4 linked regions of the Caenorhabditis elegans genome follow. The protein of the gene in region 3 purifies or fractionates together with the protein of the main gene of each other region. This does not show direct contact. Each region holds a gene or a part of one and is shown on either strand. Other genes may lie near its edges. The genes, in order: ppw-2, chdp-1, pgl-3 and ife-1.

Region 1 (6,215 bases), on a different chromosome or scaffold from region 3:
TAGAAAAATGATGATAAATATACAAAATATGAGAAAAACTCAATTTTTAGTTGTTTTTACTTTTTATATCAGCGCTTTTATTTTTGAACCAAAATCAAAAATCTTTTTTTCTCCTCCTTTCCCCCAATTAGCTTTACAATTGATACCTAATTTCAAAATATGAAATCGATTTTAAACCCACAAAAACCGAAGGAAATCATTTTTCAGTGGTAAAATTTTCCAACGCTCACGAGAAACGCGCAAGCCCCCTTGTTGGGTCATTTCCACGTGAGGAGGCTGTGTACTTCAGAACTTTCTTCCGTTGGCAAAAGTAACCGAATTCGCTGCTGATGGTGACATCTTTATCCAAATAAAGGTCTTATTGAGCAAGGAGAAACAAAAAACCCAAGCTAAAGAAGTCGATTCGTCTGAGTGTCAGTCCGAGATGGTCGGATCATCGAAAGCGAAAAGTGAATGAAGTTTTCCAGTGAATAAATGATTCCAATTGTTAGATGCAGTTTGGATTTTAAAATTTTATTGTCTCCGGGAGACCATAACAAAAGCATTACATGCTCAACTTAACAAAACAACAATGGCTATAACCTATGAACGACTTGTAATCATTGCCGAAGATTGACAAGCTGCACGTAGGATGAGCCAGAACAATGGGGAACAGAGGGCGGGGGGAATAAAACAATTATTGAACAATTATGTACCACTTAGATAAGATATAGCATTAAAGACATAGTGGGATACAAATAAAAAAATTGATACAAAAGATGAGTTGGATTAAAAAATGGTACAACTTGATCTTCGGGTGAGTGCTTAAGCATTGACACGGCGGTCGATCATGTCGCCGGAGCCCATATAGCTGATGCCATCGGTCATTTTCTTCAAACGAGCTGATTCTGGTCCAGTAACCTCGGGAATTTCATTAGCATTGCTGAAAAGGCATAGTCATAAATGCTTGAATCGAAAAAATCTGAAAACTCACATGGCTTCATTCCACAAATTACGCCCTCTCTTCGCGTATTCATTTGCAACATACAGTGGCGTTGGAATCGACGTGGGAAGTCCGACAATTTGATGGAGGTGACACAGATTGAAGGTGAATTCTTCCAATGCCGACATACCAATATTACGATCATCAGCAAGAACAGTATAGAGCGGGGTCTTTGCCGATCCCTGAAGAGTCATGTGCGAGTTCAAGAAGAACTGCTTGCATGCTGGGTTGGTAACACCATAATCAACGGTAAGTCCTGGACCAATATTGAGCTCCCATGGTTTTGGCGGTGCCGAAGTCAATGTGCCAGAATTGCTTGCGCCAGCGCTGTTAGATCCACCGCTGGAAGATCCACCAGACTGAAATAATAATCAACATTAAACGTCAAGACTTCTTGCCCACTCACCTCTTTCTTGAAGAATCTATAGGTGTGCTCCTTCGAGACCACGATATAAAGCAATTGAGTGTCCGGCGAAAAGTTTCTCATGGCAACACGAGCAAGAGGAACTTCATAGGAGATGATTGGTCCGTGATTTCCTTCGCTGGAGCCACTTCGGTAGATTGTGATGCGCTTTGGCGCTTTGCCATCGTGGAACTTCTTATATCCTTTGATTGAATAGGAGACGATATCCTCAATTGGTGCAATGGTCTGAAAGCTCAACATGAATAAAATAGTATGACTGAAAAACGCACTTCTTGACCAGCAGCGTTCAATACGAAATCTCCACTAAACTCCTGCTTCCCATTTCCATTGTATGCGAAACCCACAATAGTCGGATTGAGAATTCCTCTGCTTTCCATGATGTACTTGGTCCCAGGTGGTGGGCTGGAGATACCAACGCCGATGATCAGATGCTCTTGAAGGAAGCTGAAATTTTGTACATGGATAAACAATTGAACGCGTAATAATATACTTCTTCGTATCGAGGTAAACGTAGTTGGACCCTCCTAGTTTCACGTTGGTCTTGTTAATAACGTTCTCCAATGTTAGTTTCTTTGATGCGTTGACGACGCTCAAAGCCTTGGACAACTTCATATCCTGAACAATCATCTGAGTATGATGCTCGATGAACTTGTATTTTTCTGTAACAAACAAAACTTATTGAGAAGAGCCAATTATGACATACGATGCAAGCAAGTGATATTGTCTTCAGTGATGCACAGAACAAAAGTGCATCCAGCATTCGCAGCCTCACGCAAACGATTTTCGATAGCATCAGGGGTGAGAAGATTGACGTCTCCAGGTGGCGGAAACAGAATTCCTTTCGAACGACTCATATTCATGAACTCGTCACAAAAACGTCTGAAAAATCAGAAAAAACCAATCAATTTTAAGTAGAGTAAGACTAACCTCATAACGTCGCGATTCATTTGTGATCCCGGCGACCCCACGCCGTACAACGCCCATACTTTCGGAGCCACAGCTGAACGGTTGTAGCGTTGTGGGCGCCATTTGCAATCTCTTGGATTGATGAGATGTTCACCCGTTTCAAATGAAGCCAACCTAATGGCCGGGAGGTTTCGCCCTTTCACCACAAGAGGCTCATCGCAAACAGTCACTCCCATTTTACCGAGCACCTCGTTTTCAGCTGTGATCTTCGCTGCAATCTTTCCCGTCATGATCAAACGTTGGCGAATGTCTGGCAACACTGCACTTTCTTTTGTGGTTCGTTGACTTTGAGAACTTGTTTGCTGAGTGATTCTAACACGTTGATTTGGACTGATAGTAATCAACTCCATGGGATAGAAGTTGAGAGCTCCTCTTTCCTTACAAACGATGAGATTGGCGTTCGGATAGCGAAGTTGAATCTTATATTTATCCTTGAAGTAGGTGGCAACGGTACAAGTACCACCACCTTCGAGCTCGAATCTGGCAGTTGCGGCTCCTTCGTGATGAATGCTTTCAATTTTGTGATGACGTGTGCGTCCTCTATAGTTTGAATGACAGTCAAGTCCTTTGATGACAGCTGCACATCGTTCTCTTTCGGATCCAGTGATTCCGTTAGCCAGATTGGATGTGATCGATGACAATTTTTGGAAAACGAGTTGCTCCATATGGAATGCCACCTTCATTCCTGAAGATTGAAATATACTTGTCTATTTTGAGCTAAAAACTAACCGTCAATGACAATCGATGGGTTATTCTGGTTACGTCCGTATGGACCCTCAATGAATTGGAGGGTTTTCTTGAGACCCGGTTTCATTTGTTTCCCATCTCCAACTTCCACAATGTCGCATGGAGCGTACCCTTCTTGCAATGGATTAATGAAAAACATCTTTCCGTGCTCGAACACTACACATTTGGAGGTTTCGCGAATTGCGTACTGACTCATAGCGAGATCGAGAATCTGCTTATAAGCCATATTGACAGACTCGATGTTAGAATCCGATGTACGTCTTCCAATATCTTCCAGGGAGAAATTCACGACTGGGTTCTTGGTAGGAAAAACTTCCAGTTTGATACACGGCAGCACCATTAGGTCTTTCAAGTTGGTGTCCGCACCGTTAATTTGAAACACTTTTGTCTGAAATTAGGAATGCATCGAAAGTACAAATAAAATCTCGATACCTTAATTTTTCCAGTTGGAATTCCTTCAAAAAGATTCATGCTGGTGAAGAGAATGCTCTGTCCATCGTAGATGATGCAGTTCTCAGACGACTTGAAAAAGTCCTCAAAGCGGTTCAATGCGTGGAACAGAATAGCACTGCACTTCTCATGGCGGTCATGAACAATGAAGCTGAAATTGAATGCATAGGAAATTTGAATTCGATCATCAATATCTTACTCTTCTTTTCCTTTTTTAGTGAAAGTTACTTCTTTCTTCGATGAAAGTTCAGCAGTGATGTGCACACTGTATTGATAAAAGTTGGAAGTTTTATGTACTTCGACTCCAAACACATTTGTCAGGACTTCAGTCACGCTACCGAAAGTTCCAGGTTCGGTTGGAGAAGGATAGATCTTCGGATCCGGCGGAATCTAAAATATCATATTTATTCTAAGCAATAACGAGAACCGATCTCACCTCAAGCTGTTCGAGTCGCTTAATACACGCATCGTGAGCAGTTTTGTGTTCCGAGGTGACAGGAAGAGTCGGAACCGGAACCGGTGGGACTGGTGGTGGTGGATGAAGTCCTGGCGGAGCGGTGACCGGTGGAAAACCAACTGGTGGCACTGGTGGCATTGTTACCGGTGGAACCGGTGTAGCAGGCATTGTGAATGTTGTTAGTGAATACTACCTGAAATCGGAGAACGATTGCATTATGAACAATATCTTAAAATTTACGAATAACGTGTTGGAAAAAAATTGAATAAGTTTATGCAACTTTTCGGGATACATGCATTCTCTAAATCTTATAACTTATAACTTGAAAAAAGAACTATTGAAACACGTTTTTGTTAGATACTTGAAAAATATGAAGATTTCAACAAGAAATACTGAAAAATCGTGCACGGAAATGAATATTTTGGGACAGTAGGTAACATTTTTTGAAGTAGTGCGAATAGCTACCGTATACCTTAGACAGCGTTGCGAGACCCACTCAGATGAAAACTCGATGCGCCTTTAATTTCAAATTGAACGACCTTTGAAAAAAAAACATGTTGAACAAATTTTTAAATAAGTTTTATTATGGGAGACATTTTGAAAGCAAAACAAAACAAAAACAAAATAACTTTACAACTATCCTAGGCTAAACGAAATAAAATTATTGTGGGCGAAGACGAATGAATCCTTGAATAATTCGAACTTGCTCTTGATTCACATTACATTTCTCGAAAATGCGATTGGCGAGAGGCTCAAGTTTTGCACGGTTGGCGGTCAACGACATAATTTGCAGGCAAGTCGCTGCAGCATATGTATCACGTTTTCTAAGAGCATCTTCGAACAATTCTGCCATTGCCCATGGCCTAGCATGTCCACGTGGATAAACAGTCGCTTCGTCCCCACTGCTTGCAGTTTCATCAAGCAGTAGATCTAACAGTTCGTAAGCTTTCTGCTGTTCTCCGATTCTGGTCAAGAGCAAAGCACATTCTGAGATCTGCAAAATTTGAGAAATATACGACTTATGGTTTGAAAAATAATATTAAAACCTGGCTAGGCGACAGTTTCCTTTGGAGCCTTCTCATTCTCTCTTCTGTGAATTGGCTGAACTCAACCCAAACTGCAACCAATTTTTGGACAAGAGATGTGAATTGCTCCCGTTCACTAGTTCCCAATGTCTGAAAAAAACTTGTAAAAAACACAAGATATTTGGAAATAAAACTTACATGTAGTTGTACATTACACAACTGTTTGCGCATTTCTTCTCCAATAACTCCATTCATCTGTCCAGCTGCAATACCGTCGATGATTACTCTCCGTAACAGTGGCCAATGACGATCGGAGGATGCAGCGAGTTTTCGAAAAACTAGTGATGACAGATAATTGTTGACTCCAACAAGTCGTGGTACCATGGTGGTGTACAAATCATAAATTCTGTTCAGTGAAGCACTTTGTTCCACAGCCAATTGTAATTGTCTATTATAGAACATTGATTCAATTGTGAATGCTGGCATCTTTACTTCGTTTGCTTTGGATTCATAAATTGAAACAAGATTTTCTGCGAGGTTCTCATTTGCAGCTCTGTAATGGATTCCCATTGCTTCGACGAAGAAAAGATTACAAGTGGATGTAATCGGCTTGAGAGTTTTTCCAGTAAGGCTATTCTGAATTTCATTGAGCCAAGATATAGCCACGGTGAGCTGGTGATTATAGGTCTTCTTTTGCTCGTCACTCTCTCGTTTTTCATTATCCAATAATTTAAAATCTATGATGTTTTTGATAATTAAATGAAAAGATGACAGTGCTGGTTCAACTCCAATCTCTTTCATTTCTCCAATAATTTCAGTGAACGCCTTCACACGATCTTCAAACTTTCCAGCTTTTGCAGCAGACGACAGTAATGCATTGAACGTGAAAATATCGGGTGTCATTCTGAGGGAAATCATTTCAGCTACCAATTTCTTCCCGACACTGTAGCTTGAAGCGCCAATTAATCCATTGAACGCTTCTCGGTAAACTTTTCCTTTTGCAGCTCGATGCTCCTTGTACAATTCTCTAGCTCTTTCCAAACTAGAATGATCAGAAAACTTGCATAGACCAGCAATCATTATAGAAACGGTTTCATCAGTTTTTGGGAGAGTTTCGAAAAGAAGATCAGCGACTGCACCCGATTTCCATGAGGATGTAGAATC
Region 2 (6,788 bases), on a different chromosome or scaffold from region 3:
AAGGTTGAAATTACAGTACACTCTTAAGACGCACACTATTTTTCATTTAACGAGAAATTGTCGTGCCGAGACCGAATACCGTGTTCTTGGCTCAAAAATCGCAAAATTTTGGGTCTACGATTAGAAACAATTGAAGGTCGCGACATGTAAAGCAATAATTTCAAAATTCTTTCGATTTTTGCGTATTTTATCTAAGATTTCTCGAGTTTTTTATGTCTTGAATTTAAACGTTAAGTTCTTAAAACAAAAAATATTTAATCTGATTCACAAAAAATTAGCGAAAGGAGGCTTGAAATATTTGAGATGCTTCAAAATTTCTATAAAACAACTGACAGTAAGATTACAATTCCTTGCGAAAAAAATTATTTTACTGTATTTAGAACTTTTTATAATTTCTTACCCTTCATGTCTCCATGATTCTTCTTTAATTGGTGTTGTTGAAAACATCTGAATATTTTAACTGTATTTAGAACTTTTTTAATTTAAAATAAATTTAGAACCAATGTTAACTCAAAAACAACATGCACAACGAAGAAGAATTGGTTGGTTCCATTATTTATTTCGAAAAATGAGAAAAAACTGAAGTTGAAAAAAGCGAGAGAATAGAGATTGAACTTTGGAAAAACAGGAAAAATCTCGAATCAATCAAGTGGAAAGGCTCATTTAATGAGCTTCACACTTTTGGAGGATGAAAAGCACAAAAAGAGAAAGCTGAGACAATAGTTATCAAAATACAAAAAAAGTTTGATGAATCGAGAGATTGGTGAAAAATAGACTTTTATAGATCAATTATCGATTATTAAAGTCTTATTAGGTGAGAAAATTGGTTGAAATGAAGAATGGTAAAACGATGAACAAAATTAGATTTTCTTTTAGAGAAAAGATTTTTTAAAAATTGATTGCTGCTGCCCGGCCGACATCGAAATGAAGATGATTGCTTTGATTGAAGATAGTGCTGAAATAATTAAATTTATTAGTTTTTTCTTGATATCCTCATTTCACAGATAATTGAATAATTGCATTCAACGGCACATTAAAAATAAGCGCAGAACCCCTTTCCGTTTCTCGTTAAATATCATCATCTGTCAATTGACCATTTTGGACCTTTTTTGTCAGCGAGCAGAAATTGATGACCAATTACTTCAAAAAAGGATATTTTCTGTGGCTGCTCGTGACTTTTTAGTATAAACAATTATATTCTCAAGGTCCTTCTCAGCTGCCCTTTTAGAATATAAACAGTTCAATCTACCACACCAGACACCCTACGAACCCCTCTCAACCACTTCTTCCGACTCAAATTACTTAGGATCGGTTGGTAAGGTTGACCTGTATGATGACGACAGGAAACAAGTCACGATGCAGTACGGACCATAGAAGAGACGGTAGACAATTTGAAAGGGTCACCGAGTCAAGGTCTTCTCGCTTTTTTTGTACAGGACTCGCCTCCGAAAATGTGAATGAGAGGTATAATCTGATCTACAGTCTCCAATTCCACGCCTATTTGGGATCCTCAAGCGAGAAGGAAACGGAAGACGAGAAATTTAAAAAAAAGTTTGGCGGAGGACAAATACATCATTCCAAGGATTCGGTAAAAAAAATCAATGTCCAAACTTTGATCCTATTGTTTTGTCTTCCGAGAGAATCTCAAGAAATTTACGCCTTTCAGTTAGAAATTTTCTAAAGAGTTTCTAGAACTAACTCAAGCGTTATAAAATTAAAATCAAGGTATGTCTACATAGAGAATGTTTGCACCTTTCTAATTATAGAAAGGCGGTCCTTTTGTGGTGCTCAGTGACCCATAATTGTCCATCGCTTCCTAATTATTGCCTCTCTCATTTGTACTATTTTCCCTCAATAGAGAAAATAGAAATGGGAGAGACTTGGCCCAGTTCCAAAAACAAAACCAACACTTGTCTTCTCATTAAGAGCACGCCGACCGATGGAATGTGAGCACACGCTTTGTAGAACGAGAAGTCCAATAGTACACTTTTCCACTTCCGCGCTACACTAAACGGTCCAAAACCGAGACCAAATAAGGACTCTTTATGCATATAAATCCGTTACTCAAACACACATCCCGCCAGACGGTCATCGTTTTTGTACTACACTTACTTTTGAGAGCACATTTCTTCTTTGAGCTATCATCATCGTTTCGAGGAAGAGACATTGAATATTTGGAATGAAGAGGCGGAGGAAACAGTTGAGATACCGGAACACGATAGTGGAAAAGAGAGATGCGGACTAGAAATTACAGAAAGATAAATACTTCTTCCAGATTTCTAATTTGCAGCGACGGCAGCCGGTGCACTAGTCTCTTGTTTCACTGCAACTGGCTCATCAGCGGTATCTGCAACTTCTCCGGTAGCTCCCTCTTCTTTTGCTTCTCCGGCTCCCTCCGCAGCTGCAGTCTCATCCTTTGGCTCTTCTACAGCAGCAGCAGCTTGCCGATTTCTCTGAAACAAGATAAATTAGCTATCAAAAATAAAAACAAAAGTTAATTGAAAATTAATCTAGAATATAACTCACTCTGAAGAATCCTAGGATTGTGGTCAACAATCCGCTCTTGACGACAGAGTTTGCAAGCTGAACAATGGTGTCAACATTGAATCCTTCCTTGTCAAACTTTTCCTTGGCCTGAACTCCGAGTTGCCAGAGAGTTTGGAAAACAGCTGTGTATCCAGCTTTTCCCTTTTCAAGAAGATCTTCGTTGGTTACTGGAGCAGCCTCGGTTCCAAGAGTCTTTTGAGCCCAAGCTCCGAAGGCATCAATGTTCTTCTTCTGAACTTCTTTCTGGGCTGCAGCATCGGCGTTTTCCTCAGCGGCAGCGACTTCAACTGCTCCTGGCTGTAAATTTTAATTTGTTTTCATGATTAAGATCCCTCACTTAATTAACTCATATAATAGATCTCAAAATATTTCCGAATTCCGATCAATGTCGGAACGGAAATACCGCTAATTGATAATGCACCTTCCGACCTATTTGCATATCACTTATCACATTTTATCATCATCATCATTACCCCATATATTCTTATCAGAAAAGTGAAATTAACATACCTCAAGAGCGTTGGCCAGCTTGGCGAGGACATCTCCATCTTTGAAGAATCCAATGAATTGGTTGCGAGTCGTGGCCTGATCTTTTCCCGGAATGGTCTTTCGCTCTCCTTCCTCTGGGATAGCTGTCTTCTGAACCCAGTCGATAACCTGGTAGTTGGCCTGAAAAATAAAACTTTAATGACCAAAATAAGAATCCGAAAAAAGAACGTTCCAATGTAATTTGTTTTCTCAGTGCAAAAAAGACGCAAATATCCAATACCAGTTCTTTCTGCTATAATCCCATGAGAGCACTCTCAATGTTGCAAGCCTCCATATAAGAGATCATTCTCATTCGTGCTGGACAAGAAAGACGGCAACCACTAAAACAGAAGTGCGTTTGCATCAGAATTAAGAAACAAAGAAAGGAGGAGCAGAGCAGCAGCGCGGTTCAACCAATGAGTTCCTTTTTTTTTGGGAAAGAAGATGCAAAAAGGACGAATTCATCTTGTGTACCAACAAAAAATGGCTGTCGAACTGAACCAGCAATTGTTCAGGATTAATGTCTAGGGAAATTGACCCAATTTTTTGTATAGCTTCTAAACTTTCTTCTCTCAAAATTCCTGCGAAATTCAGACTTTAAAAGAGATTTCATACATGCTAATCTTTGTGAATCTCATTGTATAAAACAGATGTTTCGAAATTATGATGAAATATAAATACTTTTCGTCATGTATTTTTGTTTCCGTTTCCATGGGGATTATTTTTGTGAGTATTCAAAATTTAAAGTCGAATCACACATCTTTTTATTTCTAATTCGTGTAAATATCCTGGTCACCAGACAACATCGATTTTATAACTTTTACGAACGTCTGTCAATTTCTAGGATATCTACAATATCTGCCTCTCATTATCCTAAAGAGTTACGCAATAGCGAATCCGGTGCGCGCGCACACACAGTTAGTTACATTACAACACCATTCTACGGGGTCTGCAGCAATACGAGCGTCGGAACGAGGAAAGATTGGCACAGCTGCCCTTTTACAGAGTGCCGACGCACATCGCCAATCTCGCCGGCGCGATCAAACAAAAAACCTTGCAAATACCAATGAGCGATACATTGCAAATGTTGATGAATAGACTTAATGAACTTGTGAAGGAGTAGGGGAAAATGCACTTGTTCCAAACTTTTTTGTGAGCTCAGGATCAAATTTCAGATAGGTTCTTGTTAGTTAAAAGTACTTATGCATCGTTTTGGCCAATTCCTAGAAATTTTTAGGCATTCCAATGAATTCACCTATGATTCTTAAAAAATCGAACTGCGGTAATTTGAATTCAAAGGTAACTGGTGAGAATGGGGGCTAATCGGAAACAGCTGTTATGCTAGGGTGAATACTAAACCTGCGTTTCGGTTGCTCTAGCGAGAATACCATCTGCCCTGAATCGTTTTAGTTATTTTGAAAGTATTCTTACCTTGTGAACAGCCTGTGGAATCTGTTGAGCAATCCATCCGAGAACGTCTTCCTTTGGATCCTTTGGTGCTTCTGGCTCTTTTGGAGTGGATGCTTCCGCATCACGGTGCTTTCCCCATCTCTTGTTGAAAGTGAAACGCCGAGCAACACCTCCAGACTTCTTTTTCTCTTCTGGAGCTGCAGCAGCAGCGGTGGCAGTTTCTCCTTCTGCAGCAGCTGGGGCAGCAATCTCAGCGACAGCTTCTTCTACTTTTGGTGCTTCTTCAGTAACTGGTGCTGGAACATCGACTGGTGGTTCGGTGGTTGGAACCTTTGGAGCCTTGTCTTGCTCGGCGACCTCCTCGATCTTCTTGATTTCCTCAGACATAGTTGATGTGTTGGTTAGTGACGAGAGAACTGAGACTGAAAGAAACTCATTAATTTTCGAGGTATTCGGAGAAACAAAGAGCTAAAAATGGAGAAAAAATACGAGAGAAATAGACGAGTTGGAGAGGAGAATAAGAAAAATGAGAAAATGGAATGGGGAAAAACAGAAGACTACCATGAAAGTCAACTCAATTACGGGGGTAATCGAATAGAGTCTCCAGTAGCGAGCCGCTAGTAAGCCGGGGTAGCACATTTTGGTAGGCAAAAGACAAAACCGGAATGAGCAAAAGCTTCTCTCTCGCTTGGACACTAATTGCACCCGTCTCTGTCGAGGACTCATTTTCTATTCTAGAACCGTCTCCAAGAATGGGGTTTTAGTGGATATAGATGAGAAGAACAAAAAAAGACGAAGAACTCAAGTGAGACAATGTAAAAAGAAAGAGAAGACGATGTTATAGTAGGGACAATAATGTAAGACTGATTGTGTGAAGAGACTAGATGGTACGCGGAACGCTGAACGCTGCGGGGGCTAGAACAGTCAATCGATGCTCAAATTGCGGGAAAAGGTCATGAAGAGAAAATGCGCGTTTAGGTTATGATTTAAAAAGAAGAACTAGTCATATGCGACTTGAATTGAATCGAAGAATAATGCTAACGAGATAAGAAGCGCTCACTTTTCCTGGAAAACATTCGTCTGGACGAAAAAAGGCAATAAATGTAGGAAGGTAGAGTACTAGAAGGCTTAAGAAAAGAAACCAAAAGAGCCTTTCACTATTCTGGAATAACCGGTTCTTACTCAGCAGGTGAGGTGGCGAAAAAGGGTCATTCAATCTCCTTTTTTCCTCTATTCACATTCATTTCATAACGACAATAAGTGTGTCAAAAAGACTATTCAGACGAGAGAAAGAGACGGTATGAGATGAGAGGCGAGGGTCCACTAACACCATTTACCTTTTTGAATGGTCTACCTCCGTGTCATTTGATATATCGAACCGCCGCCCGCCCCCTATTTGCTCTCGATTCTGATTCAGTCGTTGCTGTTCTCACCTACACTAAATTTAAAAATGAAGCAAATAGAAGTGAAATGAACAGAAGTCCGAACTTCAGAGCATGAGTCATTCATGATTTCGAAATGAGAAACATAGGAAACATAGATTACGAAATCGAGAAAAAGGCGGAGTCAAAAAGAGAACAAGAAATGTCCAGAAAAGACGAATGGAATGGATGTGGGCGACGAAATGAATGAATATGAGAGCAGGGGTATTGCACACATTTTGCAGTGAAAAAGAGGACAAGGCCAGTGGTCCAATCGTCAACCATTACCAGCACCATCACCACACCACCCAACCGCAATGATGCACACAGTGGCAGCAGCCACCGAAACGTCCCTTTCCATTGCGGCAGCAGCAGCGGCAAATGTGTCCCTCTCCCGTCTCTCATAGCGGACGGAAAATTTGGGCGGAGTCTACTGACTTGTGGGGCGGGTGTCCGCGCTGGATGGATGTTTGCGTGTGCTGCTTGAGTGATGAAATTGAAAACAGATAATTTTTGAAGGTTCACAATCGAATGTAACCATGACAACCAAAATTACTGGGTATTTGAGAGTTGAAAGCATTGCATCGAGTTCATACCAATAAAAAGGTTGAAGAATTATTTAGCGCTATTTTATCGGATGATAGAACGGAATTATCTAAAGCGGAAACAATTAGTACGGTAATAACTGATAAAAGCGGTGCAATGCTCAATGTTCATGGCGGTTAGGAAAACTGATAATGCTCTGATAATCATTATCATTTTACACTTCCCGAAAGGGCCTAGCAATAGATACTTTCTGCAGATACTGAAAACATGAAAAGGATTCTGATTTATTTTGTCGATTTTTGTGACTGATTGGAAAATGACACATTTATTGCGCTA
Region 3 (5,054 bases):
CGACACAAGCGCTACAGTAGTCATTTAAGGAAATACTGTAGTTTTCGCTACGAGATATTTTGCGCGTCAAATGTGTTGCGAAAATACGCTTTCTCGTAATTTTGTGTTCCCGTAATAACTTTCAACAGATTAATTGGAAAAAAAACTAGAAATGTAATGACGTCTTTGATTTTTCCATCGGAAAGTGTAAGTCTTAAAGCAACGAAAGTTTGAGACTACAGTAATCCTTAAAGGCGCGCACCTTTTCACAATCAATGAAAGTTTATCGTTTCGAGACCGAGCACCATATTTATTTCGGAAAGGCGTTTTAATCATTGCAAATTGTTTCCTCATCAAACTAAATATGTACATTCGGTAGGCTGCACCATCCTAGAACGGTAGCTACCGTACCTTTAATTCGATCAGCAATTCCTTGATATCACACACGAATTGTCCAGATTAGAGACACCACGACTATTTACAATGATGACATCACTAATTATCCCACGCATTACTTTTAAGTCTGAAAGCGAAATTCATCTGATTCCTATAGAAGTACAAACATTTACTTGGATCACAATAAAACGGGGTTCAATAAATAAAACATGATTTGGGAAATTTTACATCATTTAGAAAAAAGAGAACCTAAAACTTGTGAATACGTAATCAGTACATATTCAAAATATACAACCAATAAAACGTTGAAATTTGAAGGCTTAGGAACCTCCACGGGATCCACCAAAGAATCCGGCACGTCCTCCCTGGTAACCACGAGATCCTTCGCCGTAACTTCCGCGTCCTCCTCGATCACCACCACGATATCCACGAGATCCATCTCCGGAACCTCCACGTCCACGATCGCCACCGTATGCTCCTCTTCCTCCACGATCGCCACCGCGACCACCTCCATAAGAGCCTCTTCCAGACGTTCCGTTGCTGCTGGCAAACTGTCCGAATCCCGAAGCGACTGGCGCAGCGCCGAACCCACTAACTTTGTATTCGTTAACCGGAGTAGCAAGAGGCACTGGAGTCGCATCGCCTGATCCCCATGCGGTTCCAGTTCGTTCTTGTGGTTGCGGAGAAACCTTGGTGATCGTTGTATCTTCTTCTTGTTCTTCCTCCAAAGTCGAGATCTTCTGAAAATCGGTTATTATATTAAATACAAAATAAATTTAAAAAATTGTTACCGGTGGCAGAGCAACAGATTTTGTCGGAGAATCCCAACCATCGCTAGAAAATTGAACAGGTGAGGCAGTTGATGGAGTATTGTCATTCTTCTCCGCATTTAGTTTCTCCGGAATGACATCATGGGCAGCCACGGTAACACTTTCTCCGATGATCTTTGCAGAATTGAGCACATTCGCCAAGTCTGTTCCTTCACATGGAATCGTTTGACGACTGAATGGCATCTTTTCAACAGTTACTACTTGAGCTGCAGTAGAGACGGTGGTCGGTCCATTGGAAGTTGTGGTCTGTTTTGCAGTTGCAGAAGGTTCCGACGAACTGCTCTTCTCCAGAGATTCAATGATACGATTCACGTGATCTTTAGAATCCAGTCCTTGGGCGAACTCTGTAAAATTTATTCGATTAAAATAAGAAGCCTTTTTGCTTACTTTTGAAGCTATCAACAAGAAGATTCTTGGATTTTGGGCTTAGGAATTGAAGCTGATTGAGTGATTTCTTCTCACTCTCCGATCCGTAGAACTCTGTGATCCACAATGCAAATTGGAGAGCATTATTCACATTCTCGATGACAGTTTCGTTGTTCAACTCGCTTTGAGGGAGCTGAAAAAGGAAAATATTGATTATAAGTTCACGTGAAGGAATAATTTTACCAGTGGGATTGGTTGAGAAAAGCACTGCTCGAGAACAGAGATTCTGAACTTTTTCAGCAATTCAGCGATTGCTCTTCTTCTCCACGTGCTCTCCAAGTCTTCAGCGAGGCCAACAAACGCCCAATCCTCGAATGACTTCATGGCTGAAAAAGAAACTGTTCAAAGAAGTTTGCAATCTTTGTAACTAACATCCCAAAAAGACTTGAATGATATGGCTTGCGAGGAACACGGCACTTTTGAAAACACTCCGTTGCAATCCGGGAAACACTTCCGCTCGGACACTCGACGGCATCAACGATTGGATTGTCCTGGAAGCATCACGCTTTCCATCAGCAAGTGAGCGAACGACGAGGAAAATCAATTGATATCCTAGCTGAGATTTCAGGACGAGTGATTCATCATCCTCGACGGCGCTGGCTTCTTCGAAGCGAGCAACGATGTGGGATACAGCTTTTTCGATAGATTCTTCTTGTGGAGTTAACAGAAGTTGGGTGAATGGGTCCACAGAATCAATCTTCGGTCCCTCGATCCTGAAAAACACTCCTGAGACACACAACATTAAATCATGATAACCTACATCAGCTTCTTCAACAACGGCTTGCAGGCCTCAAACGCATCTGTGACGTTGTCACGGATGATTTCAATTTCTTCCTGGAGCTCCTCCGATGCAAATCCAAGCAGTTTTGCCAAGACATAGACGTCGAAATCAAGATCCAAGGCGCTCGACAGTTCCGAGAGCTCGACAAACTTCTCTTCCGCTTCTTCCGCACCGAGAACTTTGAGCAAGACTTGCAGAATCTTGGCGTCATTCGACTTCTTTAGCTTTGTTTTTCGGGCGAGCATCGAGATTTTCTTTTCATCATCGATGATTGGAGCCAAATCATGAGCTTGTCCAAGCTGACTCAGCTTCTCAGCGCCAGAATCGAACTTTGGTCGCTGAAATGAATTATTAATACAAGAACATTTCGGAATTAAACCAACGAAGTCATCCCCGAGAATAAGGCAAACGTCCATGCCAGCAGCAAGCACGTAGGCACTGGAGTCATTTGGCAGGATCATCTCCGCAATTTCTTCATTGCTTGGGCGTTTGTCGGTGGCTCCCAAGACGAAAGCTGCAAGCTTGTTCGCCTGTAAGAAGAATATTTAACAAAAATCCCAATAGTTACAGTCAAACCTGTGCTATGTTGTTGACCAACAGCTCGTCATTGCTCGCGAGGTAATGGGCGAGATGGGGGAAAAAGTAGGACTTAATCCCATCGACCTCCACAATTTGTCGTTTGTTTGCTTCCATGTGAACTTTTTAATCACGAATAACACTGAAATTTTACGTGTAAAATGTTTAAATTCACCAAATGATGATTGAAAATAAGAAACTTCGAGCAAAAACACACAAAAAACTTTTTAAAAAAATTGACTTCTAAATCATCGAAAAGTTCGTGGAGGCTTTTCCAGTCGGGACCCATCGCGTGGGAAAAGGCGTGCGCCTTTAAAAATTAAATCAGTTTTTCAAAAAAAAATCTAGAAAGTTCTCTGAAAGTACTTTTCATTACCGAATTCGAAATATTGCGAGTAAATTTAAACAGAATTTGTTGCTTTATTTGAAAAAAGATCTGAATATTGCAAAAATTGCAAGTTAAGCCGATAAGTTGTGTATTTTAAGAAATCGAGCTTGATCAGTCGAATGAACTTGATATACAATTTTTCCAGAAGGAAAACAACAAAAATTTCCAAACGGTGAAGAAGACTGTCTGCTAGATGTTCCGGGACTTTATCTATCTTTTCCCGCTGTGAACACTGTTCCGAAAATCTGAAAGGTTTTGAAAAGACGAGAAAACGCTGAAACTTTATGCAGTAATTGGTTCATTGATAGGAATTGGTTTGTCAAAGGAACAATAAATAATGATTAGATGCAAAAAAACCAGTATCTGGGACACCTACAAGAGGGAGAGATATAATACAATGGTGAGATCGAAATTAATTTGATTATTCACACAATGTGATTAGGCCTCTGGGGCGGCGGCGGGAGCTTTCTTGGCTGGCTTGGCAGCGGCCTTCTTTGGAGCGGCTTTCATGGATGAAGACTTGGCGATCTTCTTGACTGGAGACTTGGTGACCTTGTTGACTGGAGACTTGGCGATCTTCTTCGGCGACTTGACCTTCTTCACCTTGACTTCAGTCTTCTTGGCCTTGTCTCCAGCGGCGGCCTTCTTGGCGACGGTCGTCGTAGCCTTCTTCTCTCCAGTGGCGGCCTTCTTGGCGACGGTCGTCGTAGCCTTCTTCTCTCCAGTGGCGGCCTTCTTGGCGACGGTCGTCGTAGCCTTCTTCTCTCCAGTGGCGTCCTTCTTTGCTGCAGCTGGCGACTTGGCCACGGAGGCTGTCTTCTCGGCAAGACGGAACCGTCCGTTGGCTCCATTTCCGCTAGCCTGGACGAAGGCGTTACTTTCAAGCCCCTTGTTAAGAGCTTTGCGGAGGTGAGCGTTGATCTGAAAGAAAGGTAAATTTAGGGAACGTCATCTCTACATAGTTTTTTTTCTGCTTTTCTGTTCGGCAATTTATTATTTTAAGAATTTTTAGGTTAAAAATGAAGTTATTGTAATCAAAAACCTGGTCAAAATTTTTCAGAAAAATTGATTTGAATTTAGCTTTTCTGCTTTAAATAAAACACATACCTTGTTAGCCTGATCTCCAAGCGTGTATTTTGTAGTGATATACTTGAGAATTGCGGCTCTGGAAGGTCCTTTGCGGTCCTTGATGCTGCTGATGGCTTCGGTGACCATATTGATGAATGGTGGATGGGCGGCATCGGCCTTGACCATTGGCACCTTGGTAGTCTTGGCCTTCGTAGCTTTTGAAGCCTTCGTAGCTTTTGAAGCCTTCGTAGCTTTTGAAGCTTTCGTTGGGGCTGCTGGAGTTTCGGTGGTGTCGGCGGCAACGGCGACGTCAGACATTGTTGAACGGATGAGTAGTGGTCACTTGGAGAGTGAGTGTGAGAAATGAGCGCGCGCCATCCTTATATACTCGCGCTCTACCACCCTGTCGGGACACATCTTGTTTGGCGCCGAATGCGAAATGGCGCGAAACTTGAGGGCACTTGACTAAATCACGCATAACTTTCTCGGTTCTTTATGAAATTGAATTTTCTTTTCAGAATCTTAAAGATGAATAGTTTAGCAACAAATTAAGCCAACAATCGATAGAAATTACTCTCGAATTGATATAAATACAGGCATTTAAAGTTCT
Region 4 (3,735 bases), on a different chromosome or scaffold from region 3:
ACGACTCCCAAATCAGTTGCACTCAATCCTTTCAGCTTTCCACCAAAAGTTCCGAATGCTGTACGCTTGGCACCGACGATGAACACACCTGCAGACATAATATAAACATCACTGATCACTTATTAGTACAACGACCATGGACTTTGACCCCCACTCACATTTTCCTGCCATTTTGCAGTGTATTTGTGTGGTTCTGTAAATAAAAACGTTCTTATAAGTAGTAACAAATTATTAGGAAGAGGTGAAAAAACCTAAAAAAAAGGGCATTTAGAAAACTGCATAATTATTTTGAGAGGGGCTTTTGAACAAAAATAAAGTTTTTCGGTTGTTTGTTGGGCCGATAAGATAGGTAGAGAAGAGACGCAGAGACGAAAAAGAAGCAGAATGGCCGACTTTCGCGGTGTCTTTTTTATCATCATTCCCGCTACTTGTTCTCTGACCTAAAGGCTACATTCTACACTACAATAAGATACAAAATTGGGCCTGGAAACCACAAGGCAATATAATACAATTAATTTTCATCAATTTTATTAAACCAATCACAAAACAACGAGTGAAATACTAGCCAAGCAACGGGTGTAATTAAAAAACAAGTAGAGCAGATACAAAATGGTCTGCTTTAGACGGCGGATTTCTCGGCGACTGGAGCATCGGACGAGTGCAATGAAAGCTTGGCTTTCACAACCGAGCTGGTCTTCTTCTGGCAGCTCTCATGATCTTCGTAGCGGATCACATCGAACAGTGGCTTTGAGTGGTCCTTGGATGCGGCCATCAGCTTCTCCTTCAGCACAACTCTGAAATTCCAAAATTCAAGATAGAATTAAAAATAGACATGCATACCCAATCCTCATGTTGGTTTCATCATCGTTGCAATCCTTAGTCCAGACGCTGATCTTCGATCCTTTTCCTCTGACGTTGCACACCAACCCACAAATCGACTCCATGTCCTTTCCGAATTGCTCGCCGACCAAAGCCATGAGAATCTCCAGCCAAATAGCATCGACCATTTCGGGAGTCTTTCCCTTGTCAATGACGATGAGCCAGCGTCCTCCGTTCGAGTTTTCCGGAACCTCCCACATCGGCTGAATATCGTCACGGAAAACGTTGTAATCGCACAACGCGTTGAGGCCACTTGGTGGACGGATAGCATCGTAGAGAGCCCAGAACTCCGAGACGGTGTTGAAGGTGTACACCTTCTTCAGACGATCCTCCCAAGACTTGTTGCGCTCATCGTTCAAATACCACCACGTCCAGTTACGCTTCAGCGGATAAATGGGTGCCGTCGTTTGCTCCGTTTCAGTCATACCTGGAAGAACTCGATTAGTAAAATCAGTAAACAGAGAGAATAAATGAATGCAAATAAAAATGGGCACGTGGAACCAAAAAAGTGATGCAAAACGGCGAGAAACAGTTTTTTTGTGAATAATTTATAGTACTCAAACGATAATGAAAAAGGGAATGGCTCACCTTCTTTCTCCCCAGAGATTTTCAGCTTCTCAAATGCTATTTCAGAATCTGACATTTGCGCTTAAAATTTTCGCACCTCGACAACTGGCAAGGCAAAAACAGGACTGATCTGAGAAGCCGAGAACAACTGGGGAAAACGCCAACTAATCGTGCCCTAAATGACGTGCCATTGAAATATGGAGCGGGTCAGTAAAAAAATTCACGGGGAAAATAGGAAATGGTGGAATATAGTACAACAATTTTAAAAAGAGATTTAGAAATTATCGATGATGAATCAAGGTAAATACACAAATGAAGAAATAAAATGAGAACCCGTAGAAAAAAAAAGCGAAGAAAAACAATCTAGTTGTCGTAGTCATCGTCGGTTGGAGCCAAAGAGCCCTCTGATGGTCCTCCAAACATTTGTGCGTTTGCGGCTGCTACCGCCGCGGCTTGTGCTTGTTGGTGAGCAAGCTGCTGCTCAATTTCTTGTTGGCGTGCCTGTAAAATAAATATTAACATTGAGGAAATGAGTGTTTGTTTTATAAAAACAAAATTATTTTTGAAAACCTCAAAAAATTACCTTCTGAATTAATTCTTGTTGCATTTCGTACAATTTTTCCTCTGGAATACCACATTTTTCAAGACGAGAGTTCTTCCTTCGCAGCTTCTTCTCGGCTTCAACCTTGCAGGCATCGAGAACACTGTCGGCGGCCTCGAGATAATCTGGTGTGAATCCTAAATTCTGCAGTGCCTTCTGAACATGTTCGTGATATATTGTTTTTCTCTGATCCTGGCTCGCAATTCGTTGTGCTTCTCTCGCAATATGCTTCACGAACTCAACGCAGCAAGCATTGATCATATCTCTCGACTCGTTGGCGATTCGCATTTCAGGAACAACTTCTTTGATAATTTGGTTGATACCTTTCTGTGGAAGTCCGATTTCATTGTCCTCATCCATATCTGTGAAGAGTCTGAAAATTGTGTTGAAGCACTGCATTTTTAAGGGATCTAAAAGAGATATAAGGAATGAGAAATACATTATTAAAAGTTTAAAGATGAAATAAAATTAATATCAAACTGAGTACATTTATGCGAATATAAATATAATATTTTCGGAACAAATCTCACAAAATTCACAGAATTATCCAATTTTAGCATTGCTGAAGTCCATTTCAGGATGCTGTTTCATGAACTGTTGCAGCATATCATGCTTTTTCTTCTCATCAGACGTTGGAAGACCCATCTCCTTCTGCCTCTGATCATACATCATCTTTTCGACCATGGCACGTGTCTCTCCATCCAAGTCGCTCAATTTCGAGTTCTCTGGCTTCACTTCCTTAGTATTGATTGGAGGATCGGAATCAAGGAATCGATTCCACCATTCCATATCATTGATCTTCTCGAGAGTTAGGACAATCGCTTTCCCGTTTTCGATTACCCAGTTGCAATTTTCTACTTTAATGGCGTGAGGCAACTTTCCATCGACAATCGGAGCTTGATTCTTCAGGCCGACAGATACTGAAGTCTTCTCTATTTTGACGACAACGTCACGAGATTTGATAGCAAATCCAGCAGCAATTGGAATCTTCACCTCGAGTTCTTGGAGTGTTTGAGTCCATTGATATTTGGCAAGATCCGCACCATTTCCACTATTTGGTTTCATGAGCTTACTGTCCTCATCTTCGACTTCAGCGTCTTTCGATGTTTCTCCTTCGTTATCGACGAATTTTTCAAGATTTTCAACAGAATTTTTAGCCTGTTCCTTTTCAAACGCGGCCGCTTCCTCATCAGTGACTTCCACGACTTTCGCATTTCGGAACTCTTCCTCTTCCTTAGCTTTTTGTGCAGCTCTTCGTTCAGCAAGCTTCCTCTCCTGCTCTTCCTTCCGTTTCTTGGCTTCTTCAGCTTCCTTCATAGCCTTTCCACCGTGTTTATCGAATTTTTCGAGGAGAAGGGTCCGGGCTTGATCGACACCAGCGCCACTGTAGAAATCCGTCTTTCTGAAACAAAACATGTATTTATTAAGCACTTTGAAAAAATTTCTTACCTCGAAAGAAATTCAAATAGTACATCAAGCATTTCAGGCACTCCGCCGCTCAGCTGTTGGGCCATGGAGAGCAGCACCGAGTCGAATCGCTCATATTGAGACATTTTCTGAAATTTAAATATATTAATTAATAAAAACTACTTCCAAAACGAAGAAAAACATTAGGAAATCCGGAATTATTGAAAATAGAGCCTAAAATCAAGAAACATAGTTATTTCGCAATAATTACAGGACAAATT

The links.
Region 1: the proteins of pgl-3 (region 3) and ppw-2 purify together in Caenorhabditis elegans (affinity purification with mass spectrometry, with the first as the bait; one large-scale study listed by BioGRID). This does not show direct contact.
Region 2: the proteins of pgl-3 (region 3) and chdp-1 purify together in Caenorhabditis elegans (affinity purification with mass spectrometry, with the first as the bait; one large-scale study listed by BioGRID). This does not show direct contact.
Region 4: the proteins of pgl-3 (region 3) and ife-1 purify together in Caenorhabditis elegans (affinity purification with mass spectrometry, with the first as the bait; one large-scale study listed by BioGRID). This does not show direct contact.

Annotation. Positions count from the first base shown.
Region 1 is NC_003279.8:5,158,011-5,164,225, forward strand, and holds ppw-2 (Piwi domain-containing protein), read right to left. Parts: upstream 4,223-6,215; 5' UTR 4,195-4,222; coding exon 4,006-4,194; intron 3,960-4,005; coding exon 3,769-3,959; intron 3,721-3,768; coding exon 3,552-3,720; intron 3,508-3,551; coding exon 3,102-3,507; intron 3,058-3,101; coding exon 2,334-3,057; intron 2,286-2,333; coding exon 2,110-2,285; intron 2,066-2,109; coding exon 1,897-2,065; intron 1,851-1,896; coding exon 1,676-1,850; intron 1,632-1,675; coding exon 1,389-1,631; intron 1,342-1,388; coding exon 974-1,341; intron 923-973; coding exon 805-922; 3' UTR 501-804; downstream 1-500. Other genes in the region: trf-2 (MATH domain-containing protein), read left to right, coding at 290-457; let-630 (Small ribosomal subunit protein mS39), read right to left, coding at 4,688-5,020, 5,073-5,201, 5,250-6,215.
Region 2 is NC_003279.8:6,283,092-6,289,879, reverse strand, and holds chdp-1 (Calponin homology domain-containing protein), read right to left. Parts: upstream 4,908-6,788; 5' UTR 4,873-4,907; coding exon 4,507-4,872; intron 4,193-4,506; exon of another isoform or gene 3,981-4,192; intron 3,533-3,980; exon of another isoform or gene 3,308-3,532; intron 3,217-3,307; coding exon 3,058-3,216; intron 2,845-3,057; coding exon 2,527-2,844; intron 2,454-2,526; coding exon 2,280-2,453; 3' UTR 2,113-2,279; intron 956-2,112; 3' UTR 542-955; downstream 1-541. Other genes in the region: C10G11.6 (Verprolin-like), read right to left, coding at 401-447.
Region 3 is NC_003283.11:4,754,061-4,759,114, reverse strand, and holds pgl-3 (Guanyl-specific ribonuclease pgl-3), read right to left. Parts: upstream 3,131-5,054; 5' UTR 3,106-3,130; coding exon 2,989-3,105; intron 2,943-2,988; coding exon 2,796-2,942; coding exon of another isoform or gene 2,792-2,795; intron 2,751-2,791; coding exon 2,392-2,750; intron 2,345-2,391; coding exon 2,004-2,344; intron 1,958-2,003; coding exon 1,815-1,957; intron 1,765-1,814; coding exon 1,593-1,764; intron 1,550-1,592; coding exon 1,167-1,549; intron 1,116-1,166; coding exon 696-1,115; 3' UTR 531-695; downstream 1-530. Other genes in the region: hil-4 (Histone H1.4), read right to left, coding at 3,815-4,297, 4,484-4,762. UniProt on the Caenorhabditis elegans protein: Guanyl-specific endoribonuclease which cleaves the phosphodiester bond in single-stranded RNA between the 3'-guanylic residue and the 5'-OH residue of adjacent nucleotide, resulting in the formation of a corresponding 2',3'-cyclic phosphate intermediate.
Region 4 is NC_003281.10:13,341,395-13,345,129, reverse strand, and holds ife-1 (eIF-4F 25 kDa subunit), read right to left. Parts: upstream 1,714-3,735; 5' UTR 1,523-1,713; coding exon 1,468-1,522; exon of another isoform or gene 1,418-1,467; intron 1,307-1,417; coding exon 841-1,306; intron 795-840; coding exon 620-794; 3' UTR 512-619; downstream 1-511. Other genes in the region: acaa-2 (3-ketoacyl-CoA thiolase, mitochondrial), read right to left, coding at 1-88, 159-171; dro-1 (Protein Dr1), read right to left, coding at 1,810-1,947, 2,030-2,446; nud-1 (Nuclear migration protein nudC), read right to left, coding at 2,591-3,449, 3,497-3,600. UniProt on the Caenorhabditis elegans protein: Recognizes and binds the 7-methylguanosine-containing mRNA cap during an early step in the initiation of protein synthesis and facilitates ribosome binding by inducing the unwinding of the mRNAs secondary structures.